Linked DNA regions of Arabidopsis thaliana. The protein of the gene in region 3 purifies or fractionates together with the protein of the main gene of each other region. This does not show direct contact. Each region holds a gene or a part of one and is shown on either strand. Other genes may lie near its edges.

Region 1 (6,319 bases), on a different chromosome or scaffold from region 3:
ACTACCATATATCGTTCTTATATAATAACTACATCTATGCCCAGCCAACTTAATTTCCCAGAAAGGCGAAAAAGGAAGTCGTAAAACGAAAACAAACATGAAATTTTTTGAAATCGACAAAATATGTTGTTTGGAGCGTGAGAGAAAGCGAGAAATTGTCCGTACCACAAGATAATCTTCTCTGACAAACTTGCCGCGAGGCGGAGGACAGAGAAGCTTTCGCGGACGCGTCAACGGCGAGAAGGGCAAGTTTCCGGCGGTGGAGGAGGAGAACGGCGCGGCTACCGGTCGGATTTCCCTCCGGATAAAGAGAGAAGACGGAGCATGGAGGGAGGATAGAATCGGCGATAACGGAGTGTTGAGGTGTGGAAAAGTTCTGGATTGAACAAGAGCCATTTTGGAAATCGATTTCTGCTTCAAAATGATTTCAGTTTTAGCTTTTGAGGGGTTTTAGACGATAAGGCAATTGAACTGGACATATACTAATAGTTCATTAGTTCTTGTCTTTTTACAATTTACTTGCTCAGGTAAAGTCAAATTCATAATAATTTATTGCTGTTTTATGTATACTTTACTTCATAATTCAAATAAAGATTCGAGTCTTTATAACTCGAAGATAAACCCTTCCTTAGGTTTGACCAAAAAAAAAAAAACCTTTCCTTAGGAAATCAGACACCAAACATATTAAGACCAATAAAGGGTTTATGGTTTCAATTTTTTAACCGACATACAAACTGTTGTCAACACAAAAACAAAAGACTCCACTGTAAGTTTTTATAACCCTCCAAAATTTAAAAACAACACAAAGGTCGACTCACGACCGGTGTACCAGTCATTTCAAAAAAATAGCCCTGGACAATGAACCAAACACTTTCTCAGACGCTGTACTTTTAAACCGACCACCCGGTACAAACCTCTGAGACCAGACCAGACCAGACCTGGAGTATAACCATGGCAGTGAAACTAGACTCTGACTGACTCTGACCTTTCACCATTCTCAAGTTGCAAGCTTCCAATTCCATTCCTGTGGGTTTATATTGATCTAAATATCAGATTTTGCATGTTTTCATCAAGAGACGTTGTTAGAAATTTAAGAATTTTTACTTTTATTTACCTTCAGCTGAAGTTGAATCCTCCGGATGGTACTGGAGCTTGATTCCCTCCAAACTGGAACCCAGCCTGAGAACCATCAACACCTGGAGGTTGCTGTGTCTCATCATCTTCCTCTTCAAGCCAGTATGTCTCCAGAATTTTAACAGCCTTCTCATAGATCTCATTGTTGTCATGGCTCTGAAGGTTCTCGATCTTTTCTAGCCCTTCTGCATCATCAATCAGCTGAGCGTAATAGTTCATGTCTCCTGTGTGACCCAAGTTCTTCTCTGCCTCTCCCACCTTCAAAATGTTTTCCAATCCTTCAAGGCAGACAGTTATGATTCTTGGATCTGGGCAAACCAGGAGATCGCATAATGGTTTTATGCACCCTTGCTCCACCAGGTATCTGTATAACCAACGGGAACAGAACATCAATATATATATACACAAAGTATATATATGAGAGAAGAAACTGGAAGTTAGAGGAACGCAAAAAAGACAGTGACATACTTTATTTGATCATGAGAACCACCTGAAGTTGCATTTGAAATTGCCCATGCAGCTTCCTTCTTAATGTCAAATTCAGCATTTTGAAGCAGACTCACCAACGGGGAAATCAAATTAGCCTCAACTACCGTCTGCAACCATCAGGGGAAAAACAACACAATTAATGAATAGGTATAGAAGTCTGGATGGGAAACGGTACAAAACATATGATGAAACAGTACTAATTGCCTACCTGGATCTGATCTTTGTTGCCTGCTGTGATGTTTGAAATCGTCCAGCAAGCTTCCTTCTTTATGCTTTTCTTATGGTTTTGAGTGAGCAGGTTGGCAAGACAAGGTAGAGCACCACTATTGATCACGCACTGGAGAAGAAGTAAAATCAGATTTCCAAGTAAAACGATGTAAACTATTTCAGATATAGAAAAATCACCTTTGCTAAACTCATGAAAAACCAAATTTCACCAAGCAAAAAATTTGTGCATGTTGTTGGTTTAAACTTTAAAACAAGAATTAATTGTAACAAAACTCAAACACAAGCAATATATAGCAAAAAAGGCACTGCATCCTATCTGCTAATATGGACAGAGTGGCAACAGAGGGAGAATCTCATGATAAGCATTCAATACTCCCATTTTTCACATAAAATGTTGGATATGAATAATAGCAACAGGGTGCCATACATTTGAACAACACCTCATCGCAATTACCAGTCTTGGATTAGATGATATGCATGGTATATCACTAACTTCGACATGTTTTTGCTATCGGTTCAATTAATGAAAAGTTCTAGTGGTATCTTCAGACCTATTCCTAAAGGCCAAAGAATTGCATAACCACAAAGATATTCTTTGGCATAGTAGGAAAAATATATACTATCATATACAATGTGCAAAACCGAAATACTGTGAGAAATTCAATAGACAGGATTTAGATCCATACCTGTGTTTGTATATCATCTCCAGTAACTATATTTCCAACAGTGCGAAGAGCAGGAATTAGCACAGATGGAGAATGATGGCTAAAAATCAAGAGCAAGGTATCAAGTTATTTGTCAACAAATGTGTGAAGTGGACATGAAATAAGGGAATTATAAAATGGTACTGACAGGAGAAGTTCAACAAGTTTTGGGACAACACCGGCCTGGATGACAGTCTGGATTTTGTCATTGGTCCCATCAGAGAGGTAAGAAAGAGCCCAACAGGCATCTGTCAAGACTTCTTCATCATCTGAATGAATTAGTCGTTCAAGGGCGGGAAGAGCAGGTTTGACCTGTTAAACATGCTTCATATGTTAGAAGAATACTAGACATAAACATTGACGAAACAAGCTTGGAGGGGAAAAAAATAGACCTGGTCAAAGTGAGGCTGAGGCTTGCCACGACAGAAGTTTGACAAGGTCCAAGTGGCATTTCGAAGCATGGACAATTTAGCATGCTCATTAAGCTGATTGAGCAGCGGAAGCAGTGCCCCACATCCAAGAACAAGATCACGGCACCGTGGTGAATCACCAGCAACGTTACCCAAAGCCCATACAGCCTGCAGGTTAGAGCGAAATCTTAAGATCAGGGTTTCACAAAATTTTCAATTGCATAATCTCTCATAATAAATGAGAAGACATTCTGTAGTCATCAGAAGTTCCATACCTGTTCACGAACATCATCGCTAGGGGAAGCAAGAAGCTGAACAAAGATTGGAACAGCATTGTGATCGATTACAACCTTAGTGTGATCCGATGTTCCAGATGCAATGTTTGTTAGAGCCCAAGCTGCCTCAAACTAAAATAAAAATCATAAAAGATGAGAAGAGAAGATTACAGTGAAGAATGAATCAATAAGAGACATTAATTATCTCACCTGAATGGCGGGGTAATCTTCTTTCTTAAGAAACTCAACAAACCTAGGAACAACACCAGCACTTATCACTTCCTCGATTGGAGGACTTCTCTCTATGCAATTATAATAGAGACAGAGAGACAAAAGTTAAAGGGGACACTCCAAATTATATCAAAACGGGAAATAAAAGAGAATTAAGAAAAGGAATTACCAATAGAGAGAAGCTTCCTGAACTGAGTAGTGGACTCAAGCTGCAAGGCAGGGTCATCGGACCAAACCCCAGCGACCATATCCTTCAGACTATCCAACTACAAATGTTTTTTTAAAGCCAATCAATCACAAGACAACTACCGTAACCAGAACCCAAAAACGAAACCCTAAAACCTCAGTAAGCCGACATGAAAATCACAAACAAAAACCTAGAAAACCGACAACAAGGAGTACAATCGAATCATCTAAAAACCAGAATTGTACCTTCTTATCGACGGAGGCGGCGGAAGCTGAAGGGAAACCCTGAAGAGCTTGCATACCTTCACGTCTCTTCTTCATCAAACTCTCCTCACGCTTGCTTTTACGGATCTCAACCATGTTGTCTTCTCTCCTCCGTCGTCCTTCCTCCGCATCCACTGCAACTTTGTATCGGTTCCGGCGAACCTCCGTCTTAGCGTTGGGTCTCAGTGACATGGCTCTTGCTCGACAAAGAAAATCCGATGAAAAGATATAAACCCGATCAATGAATGCACACAAGCACACGCAAAGACTGGTCTGTGTATTATATAGATCCTGCCGAGAGCAAATAAATTATAATTATAAAAAAAACCTAAAAATTGATTTGGGAGTGGAAAAGTGATAAAGAAAGAGTTAAGAAGCAGAGGCAGCGAGGGACAAGTTGACAACAGCGCATCCAAAGAATGAAAGCACTTTTTTATTTATTTTTAATCTTTGTTCTTAATTTATACTGTAATTGCTAAAATATTCACTTATTTACAGTTTTGCCACTATTTATTTATGCAAACAGGTGTCCACAATTAGGTTATTTACATAATTAGCCCCTTACTATTGTGTTCTTTGAGGCAAGCTAATGTATTCTTCTTTATATCTCAACAATTTGAAGATCCTTTTGTTTTCATGACTTACAAGTGGACTGCGATTATCTTAATATTAACGTATATAGACCTTGGTTACTATATAACTTTTTGAGTTTTGAATCTACGTTTGTGTTTATACATTTTTTCCTTTCCAATGAAAAGTCGTTGTTTGTCATATATGGATTAGTTATTTCTCTCTAGCGAGATATCCTCAGTCAGATTGTCCACTCTTTAACCGACTACATACCGATCATCGAAGACCAACCTATGAAAGTAACTGACGAGATCATAAGTTTGCTTGGCCATGAACCAGACCGCAATCAAGGCTAACAACGCCGGCCAGATAAACGGCTCAATAGCTGGGTTGGCGCTACGGGAAAATCCAAGCAGAGGTAACAAAGACTTCAAGAGCAAGTAAGGGATGCAGAGTGTGGCTAGAAGTGTGGTTATGATCGAACCAATCACATCTTGAAGCAGCCACATTGAAGGAAGCTTATTGATTCCCACGTTTCTGATTCTCTTGAACTTTCCCCGCCATGCCTTAGTCGCGAAACAGTTGACAGGAAACGAGATTTTTGCTCAGGAGGCAGGACAGTTTCTTTGTTATGAAGTGATATCCCAAGGAAAACCACCTGACTATGGCTGGAAACGAGATTTGACGCAGAGTGAGGAAAATTCCTAAGTAGGCAAAGGGAATTGACAGCGTCATCATGTATCCAAGAATGACAGGTGAGTTTTCGAATAAACCGCCACCTCCTACAATTGCTATTGCAATCCAGCGAAAAGAAAACGGCAGAAGAATAAAGAAGAAAGACACACATATGCTGATGGTAAGAGCCTGTAGATAAGATAACAAACAGAACCTGTTATTCAAAACATGCTCCATATGGTAATTAAGTTACATAGGGTGGACGAAGGAAGAGAACTAGAAGGGACATTAGACTTACATCAAAAGATTTGTTATCCAGAAAGAAAAGCAGCCGTCCAATGGCTCCAAGTTCGTGAACAGCAACACCAACTAGCCTAGGAGGTTCCCCGAAGAAGCTTTGCAATAGAGAATAATACCACTCACAAACGATCTTGTTATATTTCCATAAAACAAGCACAAACCCATCTCCTAAGACATTCTTAATCAAGATGTCAGCCTGAAACCCAGCAGGATGTCTCGCGATAATGGGCTCGTGTATGGGTATCCTCATGAAAAACACAAGATGACCGTTGTATAACAGGCCATTTAAGAAACATGCGGACTTGGTAGACATTCCATAATCTCTCTTGAACCCAACAACAACTTCTTGGCCCAAAGGATGTAAAGAAAGGCAGTATGTGTTCAAGATAAACGCCATAGCCCAAGGAACAACCATTCTCACGTAAGGTGATGCTCTCATTAACACAAACACGTATTAGAAACTCGTGAACTGGAAGTCTCTCTGGAGCGTCCTACAATGAAAACAGAGAGCATTTCATCAAACATTTGGTGTGCGAGATTCTTCTTAAACCCATATTACAAGAAACAGAGAAGAAATCGAAAATCCCAACACCATGACACAAATATAATCCCCAAAAACATCACTCATAACAAAATACTAGTAAATAACTTTGATATTCTTTCTAAAATCGCAGAAATTGAAGTTTAATCGAAAACGAAATTGTCACATAACGCTATAGAACAAGAACCTCATTCTTTAGAGAAAAAGAGGTTTGTATAATAACCTCGCACTGCTTGTATCCGCGGAGATTGAGCCAGATATGAAGACAGTCTTGATGAACATTGATGGAGCCTCGACACGCGCACCGGATAC
Region 2 (5,333 bases), on a different chromosome or scaffold from region 3:
TATCACAAACAATTTAGTTGTGACTTGTGACAGCTAAGCTTGACATATATAAACAACAAAGTCAAAATATACCTCGGGGTCTGATGGAAAAAGACTAGGCTCGTCTCCATCGTTACGGGCATGAATCTCTGGATCAGCGGTTCGACCAGTAGAAGAAGATAGTCTCTTCGCATGAAGACGACGACCGAGAGTAGAACGTGCTGCAGCAAAAGCTGGTGAAGACAGCATTATATCTGGCTATGTTGTTGTTCTTGTTGTCTGTTGGATATAAAACAATGAGAGTGTTTTAAATACACGAATTAGTCACATAGCCTAAACCCTAATTTCTCGCATATAGAAATTATGACCATGATAATAACCACTTAATCACCACTAATCTCTCCTATTTGTAATTAGACACCAAAGTACCCAATAAAAACTCCACATGCGTATATTGCTCTTGAAGTTTTGACCGTTGCCTCAAACCTCCACAAGCGTATATTACTATTTCTAGCTTCTCTGTTTTCTAAAATTGCGAGTAAAAATGATTAACTATTGAATAAAAATGTTTCTGGTTTAGTTAAGGCATAACTACGATTTTGTAATGGCACTAATATATGAAAAAAGGGAACTTTGTTGAAAGACGAGATGATGGCTAACACAGAATAATTGTTTCTCTTCCCCAAATGATTTAGTTATTGAGACAAACTTCCAAAAAGAAAAGAAAATCGTACTATGTTTCTTCATAGTTCATGTCCACGAGTTAAGGAGTGGGCATGAAGAGATAGAGAAGATTGATATTTCATCTTTGTGATGTTACCACTTTCGTTCGATATGTGGCTTACTTAAAAGTCCAAGCAACTTCTATGACCCAATTCAACTATTTTACCTTTCAAATAAAGTTGAATTGACCAGGAGGAACATTGGTGCTTCCGAACTGGAAACCAGATTGTGGAGCATGATTCTCGTCGTTGCCTTCTTCTTCATTGTCTTCAGTCCAAAATGTTTCGAGGATCTTCACGGCTTTGTCGTAGATATCATTGTTGTCGTGACTCTGAAGATTCTCAATCTTCTCTAACCCTTCTGCTTCGTCAATCATTTGAGCGTAGAGGTTGTCTTCTCCTGTGTGACCTAAGTTCTTCTCTGCTTCTCCAACCACGAGAATGTTCTCTAGTGCTTCTAAGCAAACCGTTACAACTTTCAGATCTGGGCAAGTAAGGAGATCGCATAGAGGTTTGATACAGCCTTGGCTCACCATAAACCTGAGAAGAAACAAACAATAAACACAGACGTGTTTTAGAAATGACCATTCTTTGTTAAGGAAACATTTCGTTTCGGTTTTTATGGTTTTACTTGATTTGATCATGAGTGCCACCAGAAGTAGCATTTGATATTCCCCAAGCAGCTTCTTTTTTTACTTCGAACTCTGCACTTTGAAGCACCCAAACAAGAGACTGGATTATACCTGCATCAATCACTGCCTGCACATACGGGTTCGAATAAAATCAGACACAGGAAACTTCAATTTTCGACTTTCTTGTTAAATGCCATATATTATAAACAAAACTCACTTGTATCTGATCTGCATTTCCAGCTGTAATGTTGGAGATAGTCCAGCAAGCTTCCTTCTTGATACTCTTCTTGTAATTGTTTTTTAGAAGGTTCAAAAGACAAGGAAGCGCTTGCTGGTCGAGAACCATCTGTGTTAGGAAAATAAGTTAGAGACATTTGCTTCTGAAAACTCGAAATCGAATGGTGAATGTATTATATGCACCTGAGTCTGTAGATCATCCCCGGTTACAATATTTCCAATGGTACGAAGAGCAGGAATCAGCACTGATGGCGACGAATGACTATACGGAGAAAGAGGAAGCACATAAATCAGATAACATAATCATGCCTGGCAATAAAAATTAAAATGATCACTATCAGATGCTTACCCTAAGAGCTGGATGAGGCGAGGAACAACTCCTGCTTCAATGACTGCTTGTATTTTGTCGTTTGAATTATCCGAGAGGTATGACAGAGCCCAGCATGCATCTGTGAGAACTTCTTCATCCATTGATTGCACAAGGCGCTCAAGAACTGGTAAAGCTGGTTGTGTCTGCTCGAAAAATGTTTTAAGTAACAAAATATCAGAAGCATGTTAAAAAATATTGTGGAGATTCAATAAAGTGTGTATATTTAAGGAAACCTGTTCAAATGCGGGTGGGGGCTTCCCTCTGCAGAAGTTTGATAATGTCCATGTAGCATTTCTCAGCATTGAAAGCTTTGTATTCTCATTGAATTGAGACAGAAGAGGTGTCATGGCACCGTAACTTAGGACTAAATCCCGGCATTTTGGTGAGTCTCCAGCAACATTTCCCAATGCCCAAACAGCCTATACTCAGTCAGGGAAAGACCAGAACTCAGAATGGTAACAGTCTCAATGAATTTCCACTTGATCCTAATGTCTAAGTGTTTCTTCTGTGACAATAACGATAACAGTGAGGATTTAAACATATACCTGTTCGCGGACATCTTCACTAGCAGAGCTGAGAAGTTGGATGAATATCGGGACAGCTCCACTTTCAATGATGACATTTGTGTTCTCTGATGTCCCTGAAGCAATGTTGGTGAGCGCCCAAGCTGCCTCAAACTAAAACACATTGCAGAAGTAAACAGCAAAAGCAAGTTAACAAATACATCAAACTAGTAACTATCAATATATCCAAAAAAAAACGACTGCAGCTGCGACTCACCTGAAGTTTGGGGAAGTCATCCCTGGAAAGAAACTTCACAACACGAGGAACAACACCAGATTGTACAACTTCATTGATAGGAGGATTTTGTTCTACAAAAGAAAAAACAACTGCTAAAGACTCTAACCAAAACACTGATTGTTATGTACTACTAGTAACGATCAATAACATAAATCACAAACCAATAGAAAGCAGTTTCCGCAAGAGATTTGTTGCCTCCAATTGTGAATTGCTATCCTCTGACCAGATTCCAGCAACCATAGCAGGTAGATTATCTTTTAACTGTAACACGAAGAGACACTATCATAGTCAAAAATCTCCTCTAGCTAAAGTAAATTTGATGATCTCCGTTGAGATATCAACCCTAATTCTCTTTACATGTCAAATTCAACACCGCTCAAATTCCCAGTCAATTAAACAGACATTAGTAACAAATACTCTCACCAAACAACACATACACATCGCAAGTTTTTGCAATCAAATACAAAATCTATGACCAAAAACAAAGAAACATCGCAAGAACTTCAAATCTAGAACAAATCGATCTCCAATTAGAAATTCATATGAAACAGAGACGATCTAATTGATCAAATCGGAACATAAAATCAGAAAAAACTAAAGGTGGAATCGTAAACAAAAGAAAGAATCACATACTTGGTTCGCTGAAGAAAGATCCTGTTCCGTTTGTCCCGTTGCTGAGCCAAAAGCCATAGAAGACGTAAATCTCTTCTTCTGCAAATTTTCCTCTCTCTTGTTCTTCCTGATCTCAACCAAGTTATCCTCTCGCCTCCGCCGTCCTTCCTCCGCATCGACCGCTACTTTGTACCGATTCCGTCGCACCTCCGTCTTCGCGCTAGGTCTGAGAGACATCGCCGCTAAAATCGAATCGAAATCGGAAGAGAATTAACGATCGGAAGATTATTTAAACACGCCAAGTTCGATTAATGAGAGAGTGATAAGGGTTTTGGAGTTTGATGCGAGTGTATTTATACAAGAGCGTGTACTTAGGAGGCCACGATTCAGGAGACTTGTTGTTAATCCAATATTGCCCCTAAGTTTTATCATTAATAACGAACCTGCCACTCATATTTTTTTTCTTTTTTGAAATTTGAATCTTAACGTCTCTCTGCCTTTTTAGGTATGTATACACCGACTACTAATTATGGATTTGTTTTCCTTTATTTTCTCCACGCAAATATTCTTTTCTTTTTCTGCAGCAGCAATACTCTAATTTGAAGAGGCTTTTTAAAGCCCAAATAAATTATTACATAGGCCAAACTTGGCTAAAACAACGTAATTTACAAGACTGTACTCTAATTAAAAGGGGTAAAAAGATCAATGTGAGCAACTGAGCATTATGAGAACTTTACTAATTAGATGCTTTACTATTCAATGCATCTTGGAAAGACGAGAACAACCATATTGCTTGAATTCCTTTCAAATGAGAGAACAACTAAATTGATTTCTTTCTATTTGTGCCATCTTATAAACTTGAGTGAACGACCTCTATTCCCCTACGCAGTTTCACATAGTACCACAACTACACAGATTTAGAACTTCGTTTACAGTCAACACAAAATAGAAGGTAAATTATTATATCCTCCTAAATCGAAAGTTAGAGAATTTAGTCTCCACAAAACCAAATTTTGTAGTTTATTATTAGGTTAACGTCATAAACCTAATGCCAAACCAAAAATCTAGTATAATAAACCGAATTGCAACCGATTCAATTTACTCTCCACATCATAAACTTCTAATCTCTCTTCTTTAGCTTCCATGTCTCTGATTTTCTCTTCAAGCAAATTGGATTCTCAAACCAATAGGAAAATTCTAAATTATATTGGATTGTACCCATAAGTGAATTATAAACTTCTACTTAACTCATTATTGGGTTTTTGGTTCAAAAGAAAAAAAAGAAAAAAACGAATTGCTTGAAATATGACAACAACAAAGGCTTGTAGCTCAGAGTCATGTATATGACACCCTAGGAAAACTGCCAAAGAAGCTCAGAGTCATGTATATAATTTGCGTACAAATTCATCATCTACTATATCACTCACAAGAAGCTAGCTGCAATTTGGTTCTAGCATTATGACTTGAAGATGATATATAGTAAACCAAAATGACATCAGTTTTATAAATATATTTTAATATAGTTTGCGTACAAATTCATCGTCTACTATAAAAGTATACAATCAAGACTAACTGAATACAATATATATATCATTACTTAAATCATCGAAATAATAGACGAAAAAAAAAAATCATCGAAATAATCAAAGACAAACTCTGTGCACGTCTCCATGCATATATGTATACTCATGTAATATGACATTATGCTTCAGTGAATAGAATTACAATGTGCGATTTAGACCATCATCATCTCTTTAGCTTTGTAACGTTCTGTATAAGCCTGATTTTGCATCCTCATCTGTTCATAAAATCTCACAATAAACTCCTCAGCTTTCGCATCAATCATCTCATCACCTCCATCATCATTACCATAATTTTCATCATCATCATCATCTTCATCAAGACAATCCATATCTCGCAACGACTTTGCTGATCCATATCCCGAGATTCCCGAAGAGCAAGAACTAGACGTCGCCGTGA
Region 3 (5,073 bases):
TTCTGCGGGCCGAAACCTGTTGTTAATCGCGAATGCCAGTTCAGAAGATGATCAATTCTGGCCATTTCTTCAAGGTTTGAGATATAGAGGTTTCAAACTTTTTGCAACAATCCCTGATAGGACTTTACCTGATGATGAATGTCTGACGGCGGTAATGTGTGCTAAGTACATAGTGTCTTGGAAACACCTTTCACTGTGTAAGGGCATAGAAGATACTGGTTCTGATGACTAACCTCTGTGCGCAGCAGGTCTCAACTACCCCCTGGTTTGGCAACAATGTTTCATCATTCTATGTAACTCTCAAAACATTGACCTTTCATCTTTCTTCTGTTAAACTTTTGCTGTTTTATTCGTGTTTCACTTCTATTTTCAGGCTCTGCTTTTCCCAACTACTAACCTCTTTAATCAAAACACTCTAGCAACATAACTACAGTACTAACACATGTCAAATTTTCTCAGTAACCCAAACCCACCAACTTTGTACTCTGTGAATCTTAGATCAATTTTATACCGATCTTTATAAACCCAGCTTTACAAATCCAGATTAATTGACAACACGATTAATCTACGATTTGAAGAACACATCTTAAGCCCTTAAAATCTCAGGACCAATTTGAAACCTATCTGGTCCAGTCACATTCATATGGTGGAACATAAAAAGAAATCAAGGATGCAGATTTAAGTCATATATGGTTTCCTTCTACAAACAGAAACATGTAACCAAAAAGTCTCAACAACTGTGTAAAAAAAACAACAAACTTCTCCAAATATTTTAGTTTTCCTCTGCCTCAAAATTCAACTACTTGGAAGTAACAAGACAAGACAAAAGACAAGAGAGACGAGAGAGACGAGAGAAGTGTTTCTACATGTTTTTTCTTTTTTTCTTTTTACCTTTTCTTCAAGTATCTGTAGCTGTTGGAGAGTTCTCAGGTGTCTTCAGAGGAAGAGCTGATTTTTCTGCTGCTTTCTCCATTGGTTTACTATCTTTGTGTTTGTCAATGGCTACACGAAACTCTTCAACAATTGTCGGGTCTTTGAACTTCAGTGCAAATGTAGAGAGACCTTCTTTGCCTTCGCTTACACTATTCACACAAGCGAATGTGATTCCCTTTTTATCCATGTTTGCAAGTTTCATCTCTGGGTAAAGACTCGCGTTTAAGATCAATCTGTAGTTTCCTTTAGCTCTCATAACTAATCTTGCTTTACCATCATTACTGGAGACGTTTACCTTGAGTTCTCCTTTTCCACGCTCTTTCCATCCTCCATCAAGATATTCGAACATGATCGAGTCAGCTGAGAAGGCAACTTTCTCATTCTCTTCACCTGTTTCTGTGGAAACCTCTTGCTTTGGCGGAAACCCACTACCTTCACTCTTCTTGATAATGGACGATCCAGTTGCACCGAATATAGAAGAGCTATTGCTGCTTGGAAGGCCAAAGCCAAAGAGAGACCCAGTACCAGTTGAACCATCCTGAGAAACCAAACCAAATGAGAACGAAGACCCTGAAGCCTCTGTACTGGCAAGTCCGGTGAATGCGTTTTTGTTACTTGAATGCTGTTGGAATGAGCTGAAAGCACCATTATCGCCATTCTTATCTGCTTCCTCAATTCCGTTGCCTTCTTTTTCTTTTTTCTCAGCCTGATCACCTCCTGAATCCTTCTCAAGAGGAAAATCAGTTTGGTCTGTTCCTTCAACAGCGTTGTTGCAAACGTTTGTGTCACATGAGACCATCTGAGCTACTTCTGTAGCCGCAACTTGGACATCAGCACTCTTTCCACAATGATTATCATCCTTATCTTTAGTCTTTTCAGTCTCTTCCCCAACAGCATCTTTGACATCAACCTTCTTACTGTCAACTTCATCGCCCTCCTCAATATCACTTGCTTTTTGATTGTCCTCAACTACTGCTTCAGCTGGAGCCAATTTTGACTCAGCCAGAGGTGCATTTGTTCCCACAGGGGTTGAAGCAGGTGCAGTCGTAGGGACCAACTGAATTCCAGCAAATGGATTGGATGCTGCAACTGGAGCAGCAGATGGCTCTTTGCGCTTAACTCTGACAATTCTTCTACTAGCCAAAACCTCATCACTGGCCTTCTTGAAAGTTCCACTCTCAAGTTCAGCTGAATCATCATCATCATCAAGACCTGGATTATCACGAGACAGCTGCTTCAAGGCACCTCTCTTTTTTGAAGGTTGCTGAACGTTTTCCGAGTCACCCATTTGAATTGTTATGAGAGAATGTCAACACACTTGTCAAATACCTAATAAAAAAACACAGACAAACAAAGAAAGTCCAATGAAACAATACCCTTCAAAGATAATAACAGATAAAAATCCAATTTTTGAAAACAGAGATAAAACATTACAATGCAAAACACCGTTCCAAAGGTAAAACACACACACCGGATCAGTTTGCAGCCACAGATGATGATGAGTAATGCCAAATCTAAGAAGACAAAAGCTTTAACATGACAATGCAATGGAAAGTGAAAACTACAGAGGCTGCTCGTTACCTTATGCAAATATCCAGAAAGCCTTAAAATGTATTCAAAGAAGACAGCTAATTATATGTTAACACTCCAAGGTAAGGAACAGAAGAAGTAGGGCTAAACTTAGATATAAGAAATGCAAATACAGTGACTTATAAATCTAAAACCAATGAAAAATTCAACATCAGTGACTTTGTTATTATCCTCAAATCTATAAACCTAGATGAAAAGAGATTTTAAATCGGAGGAAACAAAAACCCAAATTCGATTTTAGGAACCTATCAAATTTAAGAGAAACTCCTGTTAGCTGCAACAATCGAGTAAACCCCAAAGCATCTTCAGAAATTATTCGATGAGTGAAGAAAAAATCTGAAACTCGATCTCAACACGAGTTAAATACCAAAAACCCTAATCATCAAAGCAACTATCAAGAACCAAAATAAAAGAAATGACCGGAAACTATTTCCAGAACAAACAAGAGCATGACAAAACCCTAGAATCAAAGTAGCTAACCCTGAGACAAACCATTTCCGATAAACCCGATAATGAAGAAACCTAAGATTCGAAGAAAGTGACCGGTGACGAGAAAATGGCAAGGACTTACCGTAGCAGGAGCCGGAGCCGCAGCAGTAGCAGAGAGGGAAAAAACTAACGCCGGAGCCAAAGTGGTCAGAGACGAAGAGAGAAAGCAAAAGAGGTTTATAGAGGAAAAAACATCCAGCTCTGTATCTCTCTCTCTTTCTCAACTTTTTTATTTTTATCGACATTTGTGTGTGACTTCAATTATTTTATTTTATTATGCACAAAAGGTCACATTGAAAAATATGTTATTCGTGTTAATTATGTTTACAAGATTACAGTTTTCTTCGATTCATATAAATTGAAAAATGACTTTTCTTTTGGTTCCTGTCTCTGGCAACATATCTATTGAATGGAATAGTAACCAATTACCGATACAAACAAGTACCATAAAAGAGAAGCTCTCGTTACAGTTGCCGGAACAATGATACTTAGTGAGACGGTACCAACTCAGATGACCTGTGATTGCCTTTGGTACCTCTGCGGTTCCAGATTGGACTTGTCTCGATCAACTTGTGTGGTACCAGCTGTCTCTGCCGCTTGTTTAGCTTCTTAAAATTGTGAACTTTCAGCCTTGCAATCTCAGCTTCTTCCTCTGCAGTCGTCTCTCTGACTATGACTGTTAGACGACACCTGGGTATTGATATTATCCCGCTTCTTCCTTTTGCATGGTAAGCTACCTTCTTCCCAAAGAGTCCCTTCCCAACAAACGCTTCCGCTGCATCACACATATCAAAAGAACTTAGATGAATTATACATCCTTCTCTGACATATATCATGTTTCCTTCTTTAGTGTTGCAAAACAAGTCAGTCACAGATCCGGTAGATCAGTAGTATACATACCAACAAGGAGACGGTCAGGATCTAGTCCATGGTTATGAGTAGCATTTGCCCGCGCAGCATGTATAACCTACATTATGAGACCAAGTTGTATGCTAAGTATCATTAGATGAGGAAATGTATCAAATGCCTCGAGAGGAGAGTAGACCAGACACTCTAAAAGTGATTTGTTTCTGAACTCGAATCTCAGAGATTACCCGGTACACAGTTTGTGAAGCTCGTTTGACCGTGACCTGCAATTGCATCAAAGCATCTTCAACACGCATGCCACGGACTAGTGCTGCAACCAAGTTGACCTTCTTAGGACTCTGCAATAAGTAAGGTTTGGGCACATTATATAGCGCATATAACAAATCAAGATGTATACATATCATCTAAAATGTAAAACTGTACTAGGAGTTAGAGAGAACACACCTGCTTTATGGACTTGAGGACAGCCTGAACTTTCTGACGCTTTGGGATAATCTTCTGCTCTTCTTCTTTTCCACTACCCAGCAGAGCTGGAGATGACAAAGGTGATGATACAGGCTCCTCACCCGCCTGCAATTGTCTTGAGGTAGAAATTCCCTGAAAACATACAGATTTAGATCAGAGAAGAATGAAGCAGCATACCCATAGATAACATAGTTCTCCACAGATGAATGGTTTCAGGAGATGTGTCTTTTCGCATAATTCAGATAGATAACAGATGTAGTCATTCCACTAGCACATTTAATCACTTCCCCTATCCCACTAACAACAATTTTGCTATATTAAATTACTAAAGCAAATTTATCAAAGAGGAAACGAGAAACTCCAGTCTCAATAGAAAACAAAAGAAACATCGATTCAGAAGCATTACCAGTTGTTGTAGATGATAATACAGTGGTCTTGAGGAATAGGTTGATCTCAAGAGACTCTGCAAATAACCTAGTTCAACAGCAAAAATTGAAAAAAAAAAAAAATCATCACCCACTCAACTCAAACACACAAACACTATATTAAAACAAAAATCCAAGATAACACCTGACATTTTGAAATTTCACTAAGAACACAATAGATTCAGAAATGATTTAACATTATCTAAACCGAAATGATCAAAACTAAACAGCTTCAAATGGTATAATATTCACCACCTTGTGAGAAAGGGGATTCCAAATTCCGTGTGGAAGAGTAATTTGCCGT
Region 4 (5,274 bases), on a different chromosome or scaffold from region 3:
GATCGAAGCTTAAGAAAAAATAGCAGAGACGAGAATGAAGAAGAGTTAACAACGAGCGAAGAAATAATAAAGCATCTCTGCACCTTCTTACTTGAGCTTGTTATCGAATTCATCTAAATTCTCAAAGTGGCGACCAAATTCGATGATTCAATTTCTCCATGGAAACGAAACACAAAGTGGTTTCGGAATATATGGGCCTTTTACGTTATACCAAAGCCCATAGCATAAGAGCCCATCCATTTCGAAAGAAAAAAAAAAAAACAAATCCGTCCCGCGTCAAAAAAACTGAATCCATCTTTAAAGTTTGACCGTTAGTTCGGTAAACAAATAATTTAACCCTTTCTTAATTTTGACCGTTAGTTCGGTAAATTTGAGTAAAATTTTTTCCTAAAAGACAAAACAATGTGGATTCCAACAGGAAGTGGAACTTGGTTCTCTAACAGGAAGTGGAACTTGATTCCAATATGATGAGTAGCTGTTAGAGAACCAAGTTCCACTTCCTGTTGGAATCCACATTGTTTTGTCTTTTAGGACCATCATATTATGTGCATGCTTTTGGTTCAATATGACAGCTATTTCTTTACATCAAAATCTAATATCAGATTATGTGGGATCTTAACGAGAAAAATCAAACTGGAATTCCGGATGAGAACAACCATCACCACCTTCATCTTCCTCTTCAACTAACCTTCCATCTTCCTCTACAAGCCCGTATGTTTGCAGAATCTTCACAGCCTTCTCGTAGATCTCATTGTTGCCATGGTGCTGCAAGTTCTCAATCTTTTCTAGCCCTTCTGCATCTTCAATCATTTGAGAGTAACAGTTCACGTCTCTTAGGTTCTTGTCCACCTCTCCAGCAATCAAAATCATTTCCAGTCCACCTAGAGACACTAAGATGATTCTTAGATCTGGACAAACCAGGATGTCACATAAAGCTTTTATGCAATTCTGCTCCACCAAGTATCTGATACACACCAATGGATATTGTGAATATAGATGATCAATAAGCATGAAAAAAGTGATAAAGAAAGAAGACAGGGATGTACTTGATTTGATTAGGAGAACCACCCACGGAAGCATTTGAAATTGCCCATATAGCTTCTTTCTTTATGTCAAATTCAGCATGTTGTGCCAGATTGACCAACGATGGAATCAAATTTGCATCAATAACCGACTGTTATCATCATCAATGCAAGAAAGACAAATAGAAAATATTTAGTGATAGCAACGTAAATTGTTCAAGTTCTGCAACAGTAACAATCACAAACTCATGCTCACCTGAATTTGTTCTTCTAAACCGGCAGTGATGTTTGAAATCGTCCAGCAAGCTTCCCTCCTTATGCCTCTCATATGGTTTTGAGTAAGCAGGTCAGCAAGAACGGGTAAAACACCACAATTGATCACACACTGAAAAATAAGTTCAAAGAGTTATTTGGTTACAAAATCTAATCTCAACACAGTACTCAAGCAACATATAAATGAAGTGTTCTCCAGGATATAATCATCCAAGATACAGGATTACAAATTAAGCTTTTGATAGTGCTATTGCTTTGAAAAACAATAAATTCACACGGTGTACAAGAGACGTGTTCTTGAAGGCTCCATCAAAGGAATATGAATTACATACGTGAGTCTGCTGACTATTTCCAGAAACTATATTCCCAATGCAACGAAGTGCAGGAACAAGTACAACTGGAGAAGCGTGTCTGCAAAAGAAAAAAATGGCGAGCCTTCATTATCCAAACATGTATCAAACGGTTAAATTTTTTAATATTTGGAGAGAAGTACTAACTGGAGAAGTTCAACTAGTCTTGGGACAACACCCGCCTCGATCACACTTTGGATATTTTCATTTGAAGCATCAGACAGATTCGAAAGCGCCCAGCAAGCATCTATCAAGACTTGTTCATCATCCGAATAAACAAGTCTTTTAAGTACAGGGAGAACATGTTTCACCTATAAATCATGTTTCATAAGTTTAAGTATTGCACCTATAAAACTGAGGAAATAGAGAAGTAAGAATACCAGGTCAAAGGGTGGTGAAGGCTTGCCACGGAAGAAGTTTGATAAAGTCCAAGTCGCATTTCTAAGTATCGACAATGTAGCATGGTTATTCAGCTGATGCAACAGTGGAATAAATGCCCCAGAGTTAAGAACAAAGTCACGGCACTGTATTGAATCACCAGCAACATTACCCAGTCCCCATATAGCCTGCAAATTAAGTGTAACATCAAACTCTTCAAAATTTGAACTCACATATTTAACCATTCATACTCAGAAGAAGCACTATACCTGCTCACGGACATCATCATCAGGGGAAGCAAGAAGCTGAACAAAGAGTGGCACAACACCGTGATCAATCACTACCTTGGTATGCTCAGATGCGCCAGAAGCAATGTTTGTTAAAGCCCAAGCAGCCTCAAACTATAAAAAAGATCAAAGAATTCAGAACCAAAGATTACACTAATCATCAAAGATGGGAACTTTAAGTCTAACCTGAAGCTTAGGGTTATCATCCTTCTTAAGAAACTCTACAAAACGTGGCACAACTCCAGATTTTATCACATTATCAGTAGGTGGACTTCTATCTGAACAATATATAAAACCACAAGACTTTAAGAAACCATTCAAGTAAATATAAGTTCGTATCTTTTTCAACTCAAGATCAAAGAAAAGTAAAGAGTTTTACCGAATGATAGAACCACCCTGAACCGAGTTGTGTACTCAAGCTGCAATGAAGGATCATCCGAGAAAACCCCAGTGATCATATTCGCTATCTCCAACTACAACCATCACCAGAGAGGATCTAATTTAATTACCCAATTCGAAAGCATTCGAGTATAATGATAAAGGTCGTATCTTTCAAAACCTAGGTTTCACTAATCCAAAACCAAAGATCAAACTTTTACCAAACTCTCAAAGGGGTCGTTGGAAATCAACTTGTAATCAGGAGGCAAAACTTTTACACGACGTTTCTTCATCAAATTTTCGTTGCGTTTACTCTTGCGAATCTCGACTAAAAAGTCTTCTCTTCTTCTGCGTCCTTCTTCCGCATCTACAGAGACTTTGTAACGGATTCGACGGATCTCTGTCTTCGTGCTCGGTCGCAAGGACATAGCTTTCTCGATTCTTCGACCTCTCTAAATCAATTCACAAAATCGAAGCGAAACCCTAGAAATTTGAACTGAATGGGATTTGCAAAGTGAAGAAGAGAATGCAAGAGTGGTGAAGATGAAGAAGAAGCGACAACAGTTTCAATTTGAAGAAGCGGGAGGGTTTTCTAATTATCGTTTTTAATTGTTAACCGTATTTATACAGTAGATTGAATCATAAATCATTGATAATCTAAATTTAAGATAAAGTTTACAATCATATTATTAAGAGCTCCAAATTGAAATAATTAGTCAATAATTATTATAAGCTAAAATACTTGAATCTAAACCGAACTAAACCGTGAAGTTGGTTTAGTTACTCGTTACCGACGATAAAAAGAACCATATTTGCAGAGTTTACTCGTTAGATGTGTAGTGTTTTCTCCGGCGAAGGAAAACCTACTTTTCCGGTAAAGTTCATGTATTGATTGGAAAAAGTAGGTTTTGGTTTGTGATTTTGAATTGCTTATGTAAGAAGTAAAAACATTGTTTTTTCTCATATGATTATGTTAACTACTATACATTGTACACTATACTATATGTGCAAGTTGCTTTAAAGAAACAAGATATTCCAAAGACGTCGATTCATCTCTAACAGTAGCAAGACCTTCTCGAGCAACCGTAGCCATCCGATTTGTAGGCGATCTTGGAGGAGATGCATAAAGAACTGATGCCTCGATGATCTCTCTATGTGTGTTTTCAAGATCCTTAGAGATTCGATGTGCTTGAAGAGCGGTTAGGTAAAGTCCCGTGGCTAGAAAGACGGTTATAAGTGAGAACACTCCGGCCGCTGAAAACAAGCCTTGCCGGATTACTAGACAACTAGGTTTTGGTTTAGACCAGTTCTTTAGATGTCCTGATTCCACACTAAGTGCAACCAACAGTAGAACCTCTCCAACACCAAAGCAAACCCTTATAGGAACAAAAAAGAATAATATAATCACAAAATTATCATTAACTTAAGCTATGGTCAGTAACATAAATATGTCATTTCACGATTGCTTATAGTTAGGATTTTTTTATTTTTATTTTATTTTTTATAACTACATGACATTAATTCGTTGCGTTAGAATAAGTCTACGTACCATGTTGAGACGAAGAAGAAGGCAGCTTGAAAAGTGAGCCTCTTCGCAGGAACAGAGTCAGGATCCCACTCAACCAGAACCAGAGACGGCGATGTGGTGACTGCGATAAGTAAGTACATGTGGAAGCCCACCATCGCCACCGCTAGTCCCACAAACGCAATCGCACCACACAACAACGGCGTTTTCCCGCTACCATTATACACGCATGTTTTGCTTCCCCATGTCGCCTATTGCAAATGATTGACAACATATTAATGGCAATGATATAACTTATACTAAATACTATTATAATCGAACGATATGGTAATTAATATAAAACATGAATCAATATAGATTTCTGATTTATTTTGAAAATATAAATGATGAAAACATATGAGAGAAAGTTTATATACATCCCTGTATAGTAATGTACCTGAGATCTTGTGGCTTCGGCATAGAGGCAGAGAACAAAGCAGGAGAGGCCAAAGATTATTGTCAAAACAGCGATGAAAATACCGGTTTTGCTGCTGAGATCTGTGGTTTTAGGGTTTGGAACAAGATCTTGATGGGTCACAGCTCGCACTCTTGTTCTCGACATGTCTCTCGTCAATTTCTAATAGATAGGAATCGAAGTTACATGTTTTGAGAGTTATTATACTTTGATTTGTTTTACATATATGAGAGGCATTGAAAGTGGGAAGAAAAGAATAAACTGGAGTATATTTGATAAATAAATGAAAAAGGAGAGGAGGATAGAAGAATTGCTTCAGCCAAAGGTTGCTTAAAGGCCAAGATTCGCAGGTTCTCTTTCGGATGTCTTTTTAGAAATACTATACTGTTTTCGTATAGTGTCTATTAAACGATGATGTGTAAAATATATAATGTGACGAGAGTTCGTTAATGGAGTTAGTTGGATGATTCTTTTCATATATTACACGTGTATAAGAACATTCTTTTCTTCTTTTTATTTTGTGTTCATACAAAGAACATCGTACCTTTTATTATCTTGAAAGTAAATAAAGATAAAGATAAAAAGATAAGGTGATGAACTTTGTTCG

What was found.
Region 1: the proteins of AT1G52380 (region 3) and IMPA-1 purify together in Arabidopsis thaliana (affinity purification with mass spectrometry, with the first as the bait; one study listed by BioGRID). This does not show direct contact.
Region 2: the proteins of AT1G52380 (region 3) and MOS6 purify together in Arabidopsis thaliana (affinity purification with mass spectrometry, with the first as the bait; one study listed by BioGRID). This does not show direct contact.
Region 4: the proteins of AT1G52380 (region 3) and IMPA-5 purify together in Arabidopsis thaliana (affinity purification with mass spectrometry, with the first as the bait; one study listed by BioGRID). This does not show direct contact.

Annotation. Positions count from the first base shown.
Region 1 is NC_003074.8:2,118,353-2,124,671, reverse strand, and holds IMPA-1 (importin alpha), read right to left. Parts: upstream 4,329-6,319; 5' UTR 4,114-4,328; coding exon 3,904-4,113; intron 3,738-3,903; coding exon 3,641-3,737; intron 3,543-3,640; coding exon 3,451-3,542; intron 3,373-3,450; coding exon 3,241-3,372; intron 3,134-3,240; coding exon 2,948-3,133; intron 2,868-2,947; coding exon 2,704-2,867; intron 2,617-2,703; coding exon 2,538-2,616; intron 1,961-2,537; coding exon 1,832-1,960; intron 1,731-1,831; coding exon 1,603-1,730; intron 1,499-1,602; coding exon 1,117-1,498; 3' UTR 1,115-1,116; exon of another isoform or gene 1,105-1,114; intron 1,025-1,104; 3' UTR 506-1,024; downstream 1-505. Other genes in the region: TRX z (Thioredoxin z), read right to left, coding at 166-396; AT3G06710 (E3 ubiquitin ligase), read right to left, coding at 5,059-5,355, 5,465-5,905. UniProt on the Arabidopsis thaliana protein: Binds to conventional NLS motifs with high affinity in the absence of an importin beta subunit. Mediates nuclear protein import across the nuclear envelope in vitro in the absence of exogenously added importin beta subunit.
Region 2 is NC_003075.7:950,013-955,345, forward strand, and holds MOS6 (ARM repeat superfamily protein), read right to left. Parts: upstream 3,679-5,333; 5' UTR 3,591-3,678; coding exon 3,375-3,590; intron 3,003-3,374; coding exon 2,903-3,002; intron 2,813-2,902; coding exon 2,721-2,812; intron 2,618-2,720; coding exon 2,486-2,617; intron 2,360-2,485; coding exon 2,174-2,359; intron 2,084-2,173; coding exon 1,920-2,083; intron 1,833-1,919; coding exon 1,754-1,832; intron 1,680-1,753; coding exon 1,551-1,679; intron 1,461-1,550; coding exon 1,333-1,460; coding exon of another isoform or gene 1,329-1,332; exon of another isoform or gene 1,242-1,328; coding exon 872-1,241; 3' UTR 534-871; downstream 1-533. Other genes in the region: AT4G02140 (uncharacterized protein), read right to left, coding at 73-228; AT4G02160 (cotton fiber protein), read right to left, coding at 5,089-5,333. UniProt on the Arabidopsis thaliana protein: Binds to conventional NLS motifs and mediates nuclear protein import across the nuclear envelope. Acts as a cellular receptor for the nuclear import of the virD2 protein of Agrobacterium, but is not essential for Agrobacterium-mediated root transformation.
Region 3 is NC_003070.9:19,507,127-19,512,199, reverse strand, and holds AT1G52380 (NUP50 (Nucleoporin 50 kDa) protein), read right to left. Parts: upstream 3,249-5,073; 5' UTR 3,095-3,248; exon of another isoform or gene 2,263-3,094; 5' UTR 2,222-2,262; coding exon 899-2,221; 3' UTR 559-898; downstream 1-558. Other genes in the region: AT1G52390 (uncharacterized protein), read left to right, coding at 1-151, 203-232; AT1G52370 (Ribosomal protein L22p/L17e family protein), read right to left, coding at 3,501-3,787, 3,913-3,979, 4,107-4,217, 4,324-4,476, 4,751-4,818, 5,025-5,073.
Region 4 is NC_003076.8:19,991,401-19,996,674, forward strand, and holds IMPA-5 (importin alpha), read right to left. Parts: upstream 3,273-5,274; 5' UTR 3,117-3,272; coding exon 2,910-3,116; intron 2,784-2,909; coding exon 2,690-2,783; intron 2,589-2,689; coding exon 2,497-2,588; intron 2,425-2,496; coding exon 2,293-2,424; intron 2,212-2,292; coding exon 2,026-2,211; intron 1,957-2,025; coding exon 1,793-1,956; intron 1,707-1,792; coding exon 1,628-1,706; intron 1,408-1,627; coding exon 1,279-1,407; intron 1,175-1,278; coding exon 1,047-1,174; intron 965-1,046; coding exon 616-964; 3' UTR 546-615; downstream 1-545. Other genes in the region: AT5G49320 (transmembrane protein, putative (DUF1218)), read right to left, coding at 3,683-4,064, 4,238-4,464, 4,650-4,814. UniProt on the Arabidopsis thaliana protein: Binds to conventional NLS motifs and mediates nuclear protein import across the nuclear envelope.